Linked DNA regions of Caenorhabditis elegans. The protein of the gene in region 4 purifies or fractionates together with the protein of the main gene of each other region. This does not show direct contact. Each region holds a gene or a part of one and is shown on either strand. Other genes may lie near its edges.

What was found.
Region 1: the proteins of cox-5A (region 4) and mrpl-49 fractionate together in Caenorhabditis elegans (co-fractionation; one large-scale study listed by BioGRID). This does not show direct contact.
Region 2: the proteins of cox-5A (region 4) and lpd-5 fractionate together in Caenorhabditis elegans (co-fractionation; one large-scale study listed by BioGRID). This does not show direct contact.
Region 3: the proteins of cox-5A (region 4) and cox-6C purify together in Caenorhabditis elegans (affinity purification with mass spectrometry, with the first as the bait; one large-scale study listed by BioGRID). This does not show direct contact.

Annotation. Positions count from the first base shown.
Region 1 is NC_003283.11:12,726,774-12,729,946, reverse strand, and holds mrpl-49 (Large ribosomal subunit protein mL49), read right to left. Parts: upstream 1,317-3,173; coding exon 1,190-1,316; intron 1,146-1,189; coding exon 1,011-1,145; intron 970-1,010; coding exon 815-969; intron 766-814; coding exon 619-765; 3' UTR 530-618; downstream 1-529. Other genes in the region: zfyv-19 (FYVE-type domain-containing protein), read right to left, coding at 1-118, 176-322, 367-426; rpl-28 (Large ribosomal subunit protein eL28), read left to right, coding at 1,840-2,041, 2,088-2,266; R11D1.13 (DUF148 domain-containing protein), read right to left, coding at 2,364-2,402, 2,445-2,555, 2,598-2,735.
Region 2 is NC_003279.8:4,371,736-4,374,982, forward strand, and holds lpd-5 (NADH dehydrogenase [ubiquinone] iron-sulfur protein 4, mitochondrial), read right to left. Parts: upstream 1,284-3,247; coding exon 1,134-1,283; intron 1,032-1,133; coding exon 835-1,031; intron 789-834; coding exon 605-788; 3' UTR 520-604; downstream 1-519. Other genes in the region: ZK973.9 (SS18 N-terminal domain-containing protein), read right to left, coding at 281-376; cec-10 (Chromo domain-containing protein), read left to right, coding at 1,929-2,078, 2,128-2,469, 2,516-2,701.
Region 3 is NC_003282.8:125,094-128,261, reverse strand, and holds cox-6C (Mitochondrial cytochrome c oxidase subunit VIc/VIIs domain-containing protein), read right to left. Parts: upstream 1,532-3,168; 5' UTR 1,531-1,531; coding exon 1,382-1,530; intron 872-1,381; coding exon 748-871; 3' UTR 622-747; downstream 1-621. Other genes in the region: grld-1 (RRM domain-containing protein), read left to right, coding at 2,339-2,403, 2,488-2,617.
Region 4 is NC_003281.10:12,903,836-12,907,173, reverse strand, and holds cox-5A (Cytochrome c oxidase subunit 5A, mitochondrial), read right to left. Parts: upstream 1,684-3,338; 5' UTR 1,679-1,683; coding exon 1,552-1,678; intron 1,415-1,551; coding exon 1,349-1,414; intron 1,242-1,348; coding exon 1,063-1,241; intron 922-1,062; coding exon 769-921; 3' UTR 555-768; downstream 1-554. UniProt on the Caenorhabditis elegans protein: Component of the cytochrome c oxidase, the last enzyme in the mitochondrial electron transport chain which drives oxidative phosphorylation.

The DNA.
Region 1 (3,173 bases), on a different chromosome or scaffold from region 4:
TATTTTTAATCTGATTTTGATTTGTGTGCGAATTCCTGAATGATGGCGGTGGAAGTCCATCACCCCACCAATTTTTATTCGATTTATTCGAATTATCTGGTAGAGGCGTTGATGTTATCTGAAAAAAATCGTGGGATTAATATCTATTTAGTTTTTACTTTGTTCTTTTTCTTACAGTCGCGCTGGGCTTCATTTTGGCAGATTCCAATTTTTGATAGCAATTGTTACAGACAATCATTGGTAAATCCGAAAGTGTGGGAATAATTGCACGATGAGGCAGACATTTCTTACAGAAGGAGAGAGCACAATTCGAGCAGCCGGCCTGAAAAAATAGAAATTAATTAGTTTTTGATGCCAGAAAATAACTTCTCTGTTTAATAATGAATATTTAGTTCTGCAGTTTGTGCAACAAATTGAGGAAGGCATTCTAGAGAAGAATTTCGGCATTTCGCAATGATACAAAATGAAGAGAATAAGGAAATGACGGTGAAATAACCGGTTTGAAGGTAAAAATGATAAAGTAGACAATTGAATTTTTCTAGTTCATTCTCCAACAATAAATTCACAACAAAACAAATCTGCCTAGATAAAAAACTAAAAGATATATCAAGAATACATCTAGAATCCTTTGCTGTAGAAGAATTGCTCAATAAGAACACGTGGAGCTCCTTTAATTTTGATACGACCTTTCAACTCATCGACGTGACTGGCGATCGAATGTCCAAGATGTTCTTCAAGATAGGAGCGGAGATCATTTTCGCAAGCCTGAAAGATATTTATGTTGATTCAGGATTTAATAATGTTCCCAACTTACAAAAATGTCTCCGTCGACGTTTCTGATAGTTACTAGCTCGACATAATCAAAATCCAACGTTTTCTCATTCAGTAAATCCCTTTTTCGTTCCAAATAAAGAGGAAGAAGATGGTCATGACGACGTCGAATGTAGTATTGATGTGTCTTGGCTGCTTCTGAAATATTTCGATGCGGTATGAATTTAATCTGTATATACCTGTCGGTGGTGTCCATCCGCTTGGTGTAGGATACTTTTCGTGCTCAGGAACATTCGGCACCACTTCTATTGGCATCAATCTTTCCACATACGACCAATCGATAGGAGCTTCTTCGACCGTTGCAAGACTTCTGGCTGTAATTGCTAGTAGAAAAATTATATGATAATAAATAACTTACACTTTTCAGGGAGAGCATGTTTCCATGGATTTTCCCAAAGTTTCTCAGCTTTTTCGACTGAAGTTGTTGAAAAAGACAACCTGGAAACTGCTCGAGGGGAGAAAATGCGGAGAGAAGAACCCAGCATCTTAATAAAATTATATAATTTTGAATAAAATCAAATTAAAAATAAGATTAATTGAAACACAACAATAGAATGCAGAAAATTACTCATAAGAAATAATTTATTTTGAAAGAAGTTGTGTCGATTTACGATAAAAACTACACGCAAACGAGGCTCCGCGTTTACACCGTTTGGCAATGGAGCGCGCTTGCTATTAGATTTTAGGCCAGCTCAACGAAAGTTTAATTTATTTTTCTTCTTTTTTTCCATTTTTTTGAGTAAAATATCGAATTTTTTGTATTAATTCTGTAAATTTTATAATTTGCAACTATTTTGGCGTATTCTGCTTGTTTTTATCAGCGAATTTTTATGCATTTCAGTCAAAAGTTTGAGCAGGAAAAATGACATTTAGGACTTTGTAAAATTGTATTCTTAAATTTGCTTGAAAACCTACGTGTACAATTGATTTTATTGAATTTTTCTTACGTTTCCCGTTGTATCTTATTGTATTTAACTTTCATCATAAAATAATTTATTTCCAGGTAAAATGTCCGACGCTCTCGTGTGGCAAGTCATCCGCAACAACAGCGCTTTCCTCAGAACCCAGCGCGGAATCGGAAAGCGATTCTCCACTGAGAAGTTCAACCTCAAGAAGGTGAACAGCCCAAAATACAGTGGACTCGCTAACAAGCACGCCATCGACGTCAGCGCCGCCGCCAAGGGAGTCGTTGTATCTACCAAGAACGAGAGTAAGAGATTTTTTAAAAATTTATTTTTTACACTGTTTTTTCTCAGAGGGAAGACCAGCCAAGGCCGTCACCACCTCCACCTTGAGCAAGACCCCAGTTGCTTCAGTCCGTCGCTTGGCCAAGAACGCCGGATTCAACAAGTTCAACAAGCTCGCTCAACGTCGTGCCGCCGCCATCGTCCGCTCCCAAGTGAAGAAGGCTAAGGTCCAAAAGACTGACGCATAAATGACGTTTGTTACGTTGTTGTTATGAATATAAAGTGTTACAGCTTATCAACACGTTAAAATTTTTTATTCAAAAAAAAAGTGAAAAATCAAGACAATTAGGAGTTGTTCTTTGTGAAGCACTCAATCCATCTTTTCTGGAAAAAATAAATATGTAAAATTTAGATTAGAAATCCTACCTTGTCGTCGTCAGATGCATGTTCATCTAAATATAAATCAATATCTGCCTTCAAAGAATCGATTTCGGTTTTTTTGGCACGCTTGTTCGAGTTAGCAATTTTAATCATTGCCTGAAAAATTTTTCAATATCTAAGAAGTCGTTTTAAAAATACCGAATGTTCGTCGATTACACTTTGAACGCCATCAATGGTTTCTTTTGAAATTCCACATTTTGTCAACATTTGAATCGGGAATCCACCACCTCCAGAGCAAATTGATACGAGAAGAAAGGACAGAATCAAAAATTTCATGTTGAAATAGCACTCAAATCGGCTCAACGTTGAATGGGCATGCATTCGACGAAAGGTCGATCACGACATTTTAGGTTCAGTTGAAACCGGTTATAGGGCATGGTATTTTTTCTCATTTGGATCGGTTCTTTGGGATTATCCTAAGTTGTTGCAAATTTTTCAGCATCGAGAAATATGAAAATGGTGTCTGACTGAAAATTACTGTTTGTTATAATATAATTATGGTTGTAAAAAAGTACACTTCCAAAACTTTGTATTTAGAAATGTTCAGATTTTGAAAAGCACATTCACTTGCTTTTGGAAGAACGAAGTTATTTTCCATTATTTTCCTCTTCTACGATTTTGAAGAGTTTAAAGAGTAATGGTCTCGACACGAGCGGTGAACTGATTTAAAAAGCTTTGAATATCTGCCTTTAAGATTACTGTATTAATTTGCAC
Region 2 (3,247 bases), on a different chromosome or scaffold from region 4:
AACAATTTTGCACATTTATGACGTATTTCTTTATTAAAAATTAGAAAAACAACACAAAAAAGATAAATTTGTGCCAAAATTGAAAAGTGCGACACGGTTCTATGGACGGTATTTATAGACCATAGTGCGGTAATTCAAATGAGGAACAGTTGAAAAATCGCCAAAATCATCTTTTTTTTCATACTTAGCAATTTTTACGATTTTCTTTTGTGGTATTTCGGCATTTGGGAATAGTGAGTATTTTAAGGTACTCCTTTTTTGCAAAAAAAAACAAACAAACCTGATTTAAATATTCCTGTATAATATCGATCAGCCTTGAGTTTTCATCGAGTAACTTCTGCACAGTTGACTGTTGATCTGGAACATTTGTTCGCATCGCTGGAGGTAGATGTGCCGTTGACATCTGGTGATTTATAAGAAATATAGAAAATAAACAGGGAAATCAAATTTTAAAAAAATACAAGTTGGATATTTTTGAAACCAACAAGAAACCAATACAATAATAGTTTTCAGTACAATATCGAGATAAATCTTCATTTTCTACACAAAAAAAAACAAAATCTAAATAGAAGCGGTTCAGTTTACTTCGTCTTTTAATAGAAATTTACTTAGTTCCAATTCTGGTTCTTCTGTTCCATGAGAAGTTTTGTCCGTAATTCTTTGGCTTAATCTTGCGCTCATGTGGCTCCTCGACGTCAAACTCCCAGCGATTCTTTTCACAGAAAGCGATAGCGTCCTCTTTTGTGGCAAACTTGAGATCCATTCCAACATTGGAGAGTGGATCCGCACTAAATTTTTTTTTTAAACTTTAAACTTCATTAAGATGCTACTCACGTTCCAGACCATCCCATCAATGGATTTTCCCATCTTTGACGATTATCCAGCTCAATGGTCCAGGACTTGGTATTACCCCAAGCACTTTGTGTAGTCTCTCTTGCTGGACGGAAGATGCGAGCGGTACGGGCATCTTGGTGATCAAGTGGAACACCTCCGATATCCATTGTCTCATCGGATGATACTTTTACTGGAGTCTGAAATATTTATTTCAATAAAAATGTCAAGTATAAACAATTTAAGTGCAATTCGCTGAATTTCGTGTATTAAAACAGGAAAAATCAACATTTAAATCTTACTTTTTGAGACGGTTTGTCAAGAATATCGTTGAGCTCAACCTTTTTGGCATCATGCGATCTTGTGACCGGTAGGTTGTCCTTTCCAGTCGAGAGGCAACGGAAAGCCGTGTTTCCCGCCGAAAGGCAACGAGAGGCTCCAGCACGAAGCATCTGTAAATTACTCCATTAATAAATAATTTAAAATTACAATACTGTGACGGATTAGAAAAAATAGAAAAGAATATTTAATTAAAATCAATAAATTGAGAGGAAAAAATATGAAAATAAAAAAAATGTTCGCGTTTTCAACGACACTCCGGTATAACGGTACCGCGTGTTGTTTATCGTAAATCAGATGTTTTTTGAGCTGAATTCATTTTTTAATTCGTTCATAATTTTAGGTCTAAAACTATAATTCAATAAAACTATAATTCAATTTAAACCATACAGATTGTTCTTTTACATTTAATTAATCAATTTAAAAGTATTTCCTAATAGAATTTCTCATAATTCACGAGACCCCATTGTGTTTTGATTTTTTTGACAGCTAGTGCTTGTACGAGAACACATACCATTCCCTTCTTGTGACTCATGTCACTTTTAATATTTATCACAATGATTGCCTTACAGTCTAAGTACATTCTTCACCCTTTGTCTCCCGTTGTAATATCCTTTCTAATTCTCTTGTGAGCTGTTCTTCTGACCTCAACCACCTTTTAATGTTCTTGGATAATAAACTTCATGAAAATTGTCAGTTTTTACACTTGTAACCACTCTTAAATTACCGCTTTCACAACACTTGTTTTAGTTTTCAGAATGTCAAGCTCCAGCGAGACCCAAGTCAACGTAGACACTGAAGAGGAAAGCTCGGTTCAAACATTGGAAGAATCAGAAGAAGATGAACAAGGAGGTGAGGAAGACGAAGAAGATGAAGAAGAAGAAGAAATAGACGAGGATCACTGGGTGGTAATACTGCAATTTGACTGAAACAGAAATACATTCAACTTTTTTTCAGGTCGAAAAAGTACAAGAAATGCGGTACAATGGAAAATTGAAAAGAGTCGAGTTTCTCGTTTTATGGCAAGCTGATAAATCGACATCTTGGGAGCCTATAGAAAATTTTCATGGTGGATATGAAAATTTGGAGATACAAAGATTCCAAACAGAGCATCCTAAACGATTTGAAGATGTCACTAATAAGGCAACTGTAGCAAATAAGAAAGGGAGACCGAAGAAGCAGCAAACATGGATTACAAAAGATATTGACGATGATATATACGAGAAGCCGGATGAATCTGCGCAAGGAGAAGCCAAAAGGCTGGCTGATCCGAATAGATTGCAAGATCCATCTGAAAAAGTACGAAATTGTTCTTAAATTTTCTAAAACCAAAATCGTTTTTCAGTTCCTAAAAACCTATGGCGTTGGAATCGAAGGCCGTGTGTCTCGTAGTAAAACTCGAGATATTCGTCGTACTATAGAGATGAGTAGCGCCGATTCATCGCCATCGGTCAGAAACCGGTCTCCAGTTCCAGTTGAAAAAGAGAAGAAGCAAAAGAAACCGCGTGGGGGAAAGAAGAAAGAGGCCGAGGTGTGAAAAATTGAAAACAACCCCCTATAGCGAGTTTTAAACGTCAAATTATTGAAAAAAAAAAGCCCAATTCCCAGAATAAAATATCAAAATCTTCACGAATTGGGAGAGGAAAAATTATATTTCTTCTCTTCTCCAGAAAAAATATTTACTACAGTAGAAATTAGTTTTTTTCTAATTTTTTTGTCGAATTTACCGAAAATTTCTAGGTTTAAAAATTAAAAACGAGTATTTCATTAATTTTACAATCTTTAACGTTTGTAGATCAAAGTAATAATATTTGATCATAATCTGCAACCCGCCACTTTTCATACTTTTCGGGCGGATTATGCATCATATTCATTCTCTTTCGTTTGTCATTCGCGCTTTTAATTATAACACAGGCCTGATTAGAAAACCCTCGTGCTCCGCTCCATCGAGCCTGATTCCTTTCACTTTTTTTTTGGATAAATCTCAACGAAAAGCTTTCTATTACGGGTATCGGTTCTTTTTTCCGCGCTTTTGTAGTGGAAATAGCGAATAAATTTAGGAAAAATCGTGCCTGAG
Region 3 (3,168 bases), on a different chromosome or scaffold from region 4:
TTTAAATCTTCCATAATTCCGCTTAAACACCTCAATAATAAAGAAAATTCGGCAAATCCGGATCCACGGAAACCATTTTTCGGGGTCTTCGCTTCCATCCGGCTTTGCGAGTTTTCTATATTTTTTGACGTTTTTTTCAGCGGAATATTTTTCTTACCGAGATCTTAAATTTTCTAAAAAATCAGCTGAAAAACCACAAAAAACGAAAATCTTCAGGAATTCATATCCGTGGAATCAAAAACCCTGGAAAATAGCTCACGTGGATTCGAATTCACCGAAATTTTTTATATTCAAATTTTTAGTATTCTGATGCGTAATCAGCGTGGCGAGACCCTAAATTATCATAAAACTTTGTTCAAAAAGCTAGATACTAAAAATTTTTGCGAATCTGGCTCCACGAAATTCAAACTCCAGGGAAATTGTTTCCGCAGACACAAAATCGTGAAAATCCACGGGGAAATCGATTTCTCGGCGATTAAATGCTCAAGAAATCCATATATTTTTGCAAAAGCAGCAGAACACATGGTAGACGAGAAAAAAGGTGTCCGGCGTGCCAATTAGAGTCTGTAGTTGTCAGGGGAGAGTGCAGAGAAACCGAGACCTCGGCTCTCATCGAAGAAACGGATTACGAACATTTTTATTCGGAACAAACCAAGCTATTTAAGAATATCGCAACATTTCGAAGAGAATAAGAAATTGACTAACAAAATAGTACAAGAACACACACAAGATTCGAGGCGTGGGCGTCTACAAATCGGCAACAGTCTTGCCCTTCTCCTCGTAGAGCTTGGCGAGCTCCTGTGGGCATGTGTGCATGTATCCCTTGTTCGCGGCACAGATCTCCTTCATTCTGGTGTATGGATCGTAGTTGCTGAAAGAAAAATTGAATTTTCAGGGGGAAAATGACATAAAATTCACGATTTTGAACGTAAATTGTTTTTTTTTTAATTTTTTGTCAATTGCTCGTGTACTCCTTGAGGAAAAGTGTGTATTTTAATTTTTTGTTTCCTATTAGAACTGAAATTCTCCATTTTGGACCAGTATCAGGCAAAATTAGACGAAATGTAGCTAAAATTTAGTATAAAATTGAGCTCCGTAAATCGACAAAAAATCGTGTCAGAGGTTCACAAGCTTCTAGTGGTCATCCTGAGTGAAATATCAGCAAAAACGATAAATTTCCCAATAAAAAAACTGATTTCGAGACTTGTTAAAGTGAAAATCCGGAAAAATTAGCGATTTTCTTCGATTTTGGCACCACGGATCGCAAATTTATACTGAATTCCATATTTTTTACGAATTCTGGATGTCAAACATTCGCTCTTTTCACTAATTTCGCGGTTAATTTCAACCAACATTTTATGAAAAAGTTGAAAATACATACGCGAAGAAGCGTTCGTATTTCTCGTGTCTTGGCTGAACGTATCCGAAGAAGAAGGCGGCGGTGGCGCCGACGGAGGCGATCAACGAGATGCCGATGGCGCGACGGCCATATTGATGGAGCATGTTACGGGTGGCAGAAGCGGCAACCATCCTGAAAATAGATTTATTTAATTGAGCCTTATCGACTTTTTTTAATTAACGAAATACGATTTTTCCGGGAAAAAAGAGGTAATCAATGCAGTTTCATAATTTTAATGCATGATTTAACTGAGAAAATGGGACGAGAACACATAAAATTCAATAAAACACTGGGAAAAGCTCGAAGCGCCCTTTGGAAACGTGCAAAATAAACAGAGAGCGCCGGAATCGTGGAGCCTCGTTTCTAGTGGATTTTTAGAATGAAATTTGATATTTTAATTGAAAATTGTCAATTTTAAATCTGAAATTGACAGAAAACCATGAATTATTTTAGAAATTTCGATTTAAAAATCAAAAAATAGAAGAAAATCGATTTCCTAGAATGCGCAGTGCATCGCCGAGTACCGAGTACGGTCAACAATTTAAAGTACGCAACCACCGCGAACGTACACCGTCACGTCAGAATGCACACATCGCTGGCAAATAATTGATTAGCTCACGAGCTCTACAAATTCATCGATTTACACAAATTTCTGGTGTTTAAATATATTTTCAGATTCTTTAATATTAAAATTCATATTAAAACTCTATTTCTATTGTACTGTCTGTTCTATTCCAGCTGTAATTTTGAGAAAAATCGGCTTTTTCAGCAAAAACTCAGTGTTTAGTCAATCTTATTTCTAGCTTACTCTCTACTTTTTCTGTGTCTTATTATTGCTTCTTTTATTCGTTTCATTCTACACCTGAATCACTAAGAAATTTAACTAAAAATGCCGATTCTTCTCGAAAACGAATTAAATTCGAATTTCTTCAGCGAAAAATGGCAGAAGAACGCGGTAGACCTCAATACCGACCGAATTGCAACGGACTTTCCAGTTATTATCGGTAAGGAGCTTTTTGAAGAAAAAATTGCCGAAAAAAATCACAAAAAACCAATAAAAAAATCATAATTTTCTCTATTTTGTTCAGGGAACGCTTCGGAAGCCACTCACCAGAAGTCTACCTGAATCTTCGAATTTCCGGCTTCGATGACCGTCTGGAACGGGAACAAATCAAGCAATATCTGACACAAGAGCTCAAGAAATATGCTCCGTTTGAGGTAAAAGCAGCAAAAAATCGACTTTTTTTGTAAAAATAACTTGAAAATTGAAATCTGAAATTCCTAAATGTTCCTGAAATTGAACCAATTTTTGATTTTAATATTTCGAAAATCGATTAAAAAAGCAATCATTTTTCTTAGATTTCTATAAATGTTGCTAAAAAGTTAATAAATTCTTCAAAAGTCCAAAAAATATATATAAAAATCCTAAGCCCCAAAAATCTAGAAAGCCTCAACCAAAAATCCTGAGCCTCAACCAAAAATCCAGAGAGCCTCACCCAAAAATCCAGAAAGCCTCAACCAAAAATCCTGAGAGCCTCAACCAAAAATCCAGAGAGCCTCAACCAAAAATCCAGAAAGCCTCAACCAAAAATCCTGAGCCTCAACCAAAAATCCAGAGAGCCTCACCCAAAAATCCAGAAAGCCTCAACCAAAAATCCTGAGAGCCTCAACCAAAAATCCAGAGAGCCTCAACCAAAAAACCAGAAAGCCTCAACCAAAAATCCTGAGCCTCAACCAAAAATCCAGAGAGCCTCACCCAAAAATCCAGA
Region 4 (3,338 bases):
CTACACTTGAAATTCGAATAAAAACCTGCGGGGGACCACTTGAAAATTGGCAAAATGTTGCCGGGCAACCGAAAAAAAAAATTTAGTAAAAACTATAAATCCTTCAGGAAAAATGGGATTTTTTCTTTCAAGTACATGTCGTCCTACTGTATTACATCAATCATCCAAGAAAAGGCAAAAAAAATGTTTCAAAAAGTGTCCGTTGTGCTCCAGCGAGTACGAAAAGATGTCCACAAAAAAGTTGGGAAAAGTCAGAAAAAGTAATCGTCATCTCCTGATGACATCGTTATCCATATGGAATATTAATAATTCATCGATGGTCCGTCCGGCTGCGTCAATATGTCCGAATAAATTGCAGGATGACTTGGAAATTGGATGTGAGGTACCCTGAAAATATTGAGCTCCGGGAGAGCCGAAATCGAAGCCTTCATGCATTTCTAATCACTTCTGACGTTTCCGACGGCTCCTGAAAAATGACTAATCGAATAAATGTCCTAATAAAAAATTGGGTTTCGAAAATGAGAAGCCCCCGCATCAGCATTCAACCGATCCATATCCATCAAAATTCTATTCAAAATTTAGAAGAGATGTAAATGGAGAAAAAGAAGAAATTAAAATTATGAATTTAAGGGGGAAGTTGAACATTAAAGGGGCTCTGAAAAACAGTCAGATCCAAACGTTTATCGTTATCTCGCGGTGACATTATCATATCCACATTCTAAAAATCAAATAAACAGACTGAGCCACTAAATTTGCAGAATGGAAAATTTAAATTTGGATATTTGGGTGTTTGTCGTATCCGTAGTCCTTGTACCACTTCTTCTCCCACCAATATTCCGGCTCTGGCACGAAGAATTCTGGCTCTCCGTATCCGAGTTGTTCCGGTGTGTCGATTCCGAGCTCCTTGAGCACTGGCTCGACCTGGAAAAAGAAACTACGTGTTTTTTTCCCAGTGAAAAACACTTCAAAATTCGCTGATAATTAAAGATTCTGAAGATGTGACTAGAATGAGCTGGCGGCTAGCAGCCGCAGCTTGTAAGAATTAGAATTTTGGGGCCGAACCTGCTTAACAATGTAGGCGTAGACGGTATCACGGTTCTTCTGGGCTCCGCACTTGATCTTGATAGCCTCAAGGAAACGAACAGCCAAAGCAAAGTCGTTGACACGGCGGCACGCACGAAGGGCAGCTTCGACGACCTTTGGGTCTGGGATAACGTCGTAGTCATGCAACTCGGAGAGAGCTGAAAGCTAGAAAATTGATCTACGGAAAGCTGGTGCATTTTTTTTCCGGAAAAATCCATTTTTAAGGGAAAAATCAATTTTTTCTGCAGTGCTTTCGAGAACATACCCTTTCTGACCTCCCATCCGTCGATTTCTGGGCGATTGAGGTAGTTGATGAAGTGATTGTCGAACTCTAAAATCAAAAAATTGAACTTTTGAAAGCATTTTTTAAAATGTGGTGTTTAGCACGTAGTATTTGTTTAGCTATTTTCTCATACTGCCGGTTTTTGGGAAAATATCAAATACTCCTACTCAAAAAAAAAAACTCACTATCAGCGGGCCACTTCTCCATGATGTCGTCACCGTGTCCGGAGACTGGGGTGGTGGTGGCGATGGTCCGGACGGCTTGGCGGCCGGCGATGGCCAGTCGGGTTACAGCTCGGGTCAACGAGGCCATGTTACCTGAAAACAATGAGCTTTAAGATGAGAAAATCGCAAAAGGAACAATTTAAATCAACAAAACCATGAAAAAGCATTTTTCAGCTCTAAAAAATCGAAATCTCGTCAGAATCTCAAAAAATTAGTTTCATTTTGCAGCTTAATTGAAATTTCATCAATTTAAGACAAAAAATATCAAAAAAATCAACATGCTCCCTGAAAAAATGCTCAAAAACGTTGCTTCTATCGATTTACGAGAGACGGGCGAGGAGTGCGTTGAGGAGCGTGTTTCGTACACTTATGCGTCACTTGTCGGCCGCTCTGTTGATCGGACTACGGTAAAAGCGTGTTTTGAGAGGTGAAGCGTTTAAATTTCGGCACGAGTTTCAAATTTTAATTAATTTTTGTTTTAAATGGTTTTAAATTGTTTTAAAATGTTTTTCGCTTGTTTCTGCACGTTAATATTGATTTTTACACTATATTCTACTAGTTTTTTCATGTGTCTTCCCATTTGTAGGCGGAATTCCAGTTTTTGATCCTTTTCCTCAAAGATTTCCATTTTGTGCGCATTTTAGTTGTTTCCAGGGTGTAATTCAGATCTTTCAAGCCTGAATTTGTGAAATTTAGTTTAAGGGGGCTTTTCATACTGAAAATGGCCCAAAACTACCGAATTTCGTACTGATGACGGTTTAAAGTGTAAAAATCCCGTATTTTTATCTAAAATCCCTTTATTTCCAGCTTTTTGGCAGTTTATTCGGCAAAAAAGTCGAATTTCTCCAAAAAACCGAAAAAAAATCGAATTTATTCAAAAAAAAAAGAAAAGAAATAATTTCTCCAAGAAACCGAGAAAAAAGTCGAATTTTTCAAAAAAAATCGAATTTTCTAAAAAAATCGAATTTTCTAAAAAATCAACTTTCCCCGAAAAAAAAACGACAAATTTTCGATTGTTTTTCCGTCATAATAACTAAAACAGCTTTTTTGAAAAACATTTTTAGTTTTCTTGGTCTTAAAAACCCCAAAATTCAATTTTCCGTCAATTTCTACCAAAAAACCATGTCCCAGCCCTGCTAGGCATGTTTTAAAGCACATTTTCCAAAGAAATTTCGCTCCAAATCACAACCAGATGGCATTTCTCGAGTTTCCCAACAGTTATTTCAACATTGTCATGTTGCAAATTCCACTCTAATCCATGAATTTTGAGCTGACAGCGGGCGGCAAACGGTCAAAAGCATAACAATGAAATGGGGTACCGGAGGGAGGAGGAGGAGGAGGCAATTAATCGTTTAGGAGACGGCCAGATTTATGAGTTTCACTGCTCTCTGTCTGACAGCCCAATGCCGCCACACACACACTAACCACAAAGTGTCTGGAGGGTGCAAAGGCGCGCAAATGTGCTTCCAGGTCAATGACTTCTGGGGCTCAATGAGCCAAGTTACACCTTTTTTCCGGATCACTTTTACTATTTTCTGATACTTATTCCTTTGCACATGGAAGCTTGTCGTTTACTTTGAGAATGTCACTGCAACTTTTTCCTCACGAGGGACGAGGAAAAGTGGTTTCTAGGTCATGGCCGAGGGGCCGACAAGTTTCAGCGGCCATTTATCTTGCTTTGTTTTCCGTCTGTTTTCTTTTGTTTTTCACAGCTTTTTCCCGTTTTTTCTTATTAAAACTGATAAATA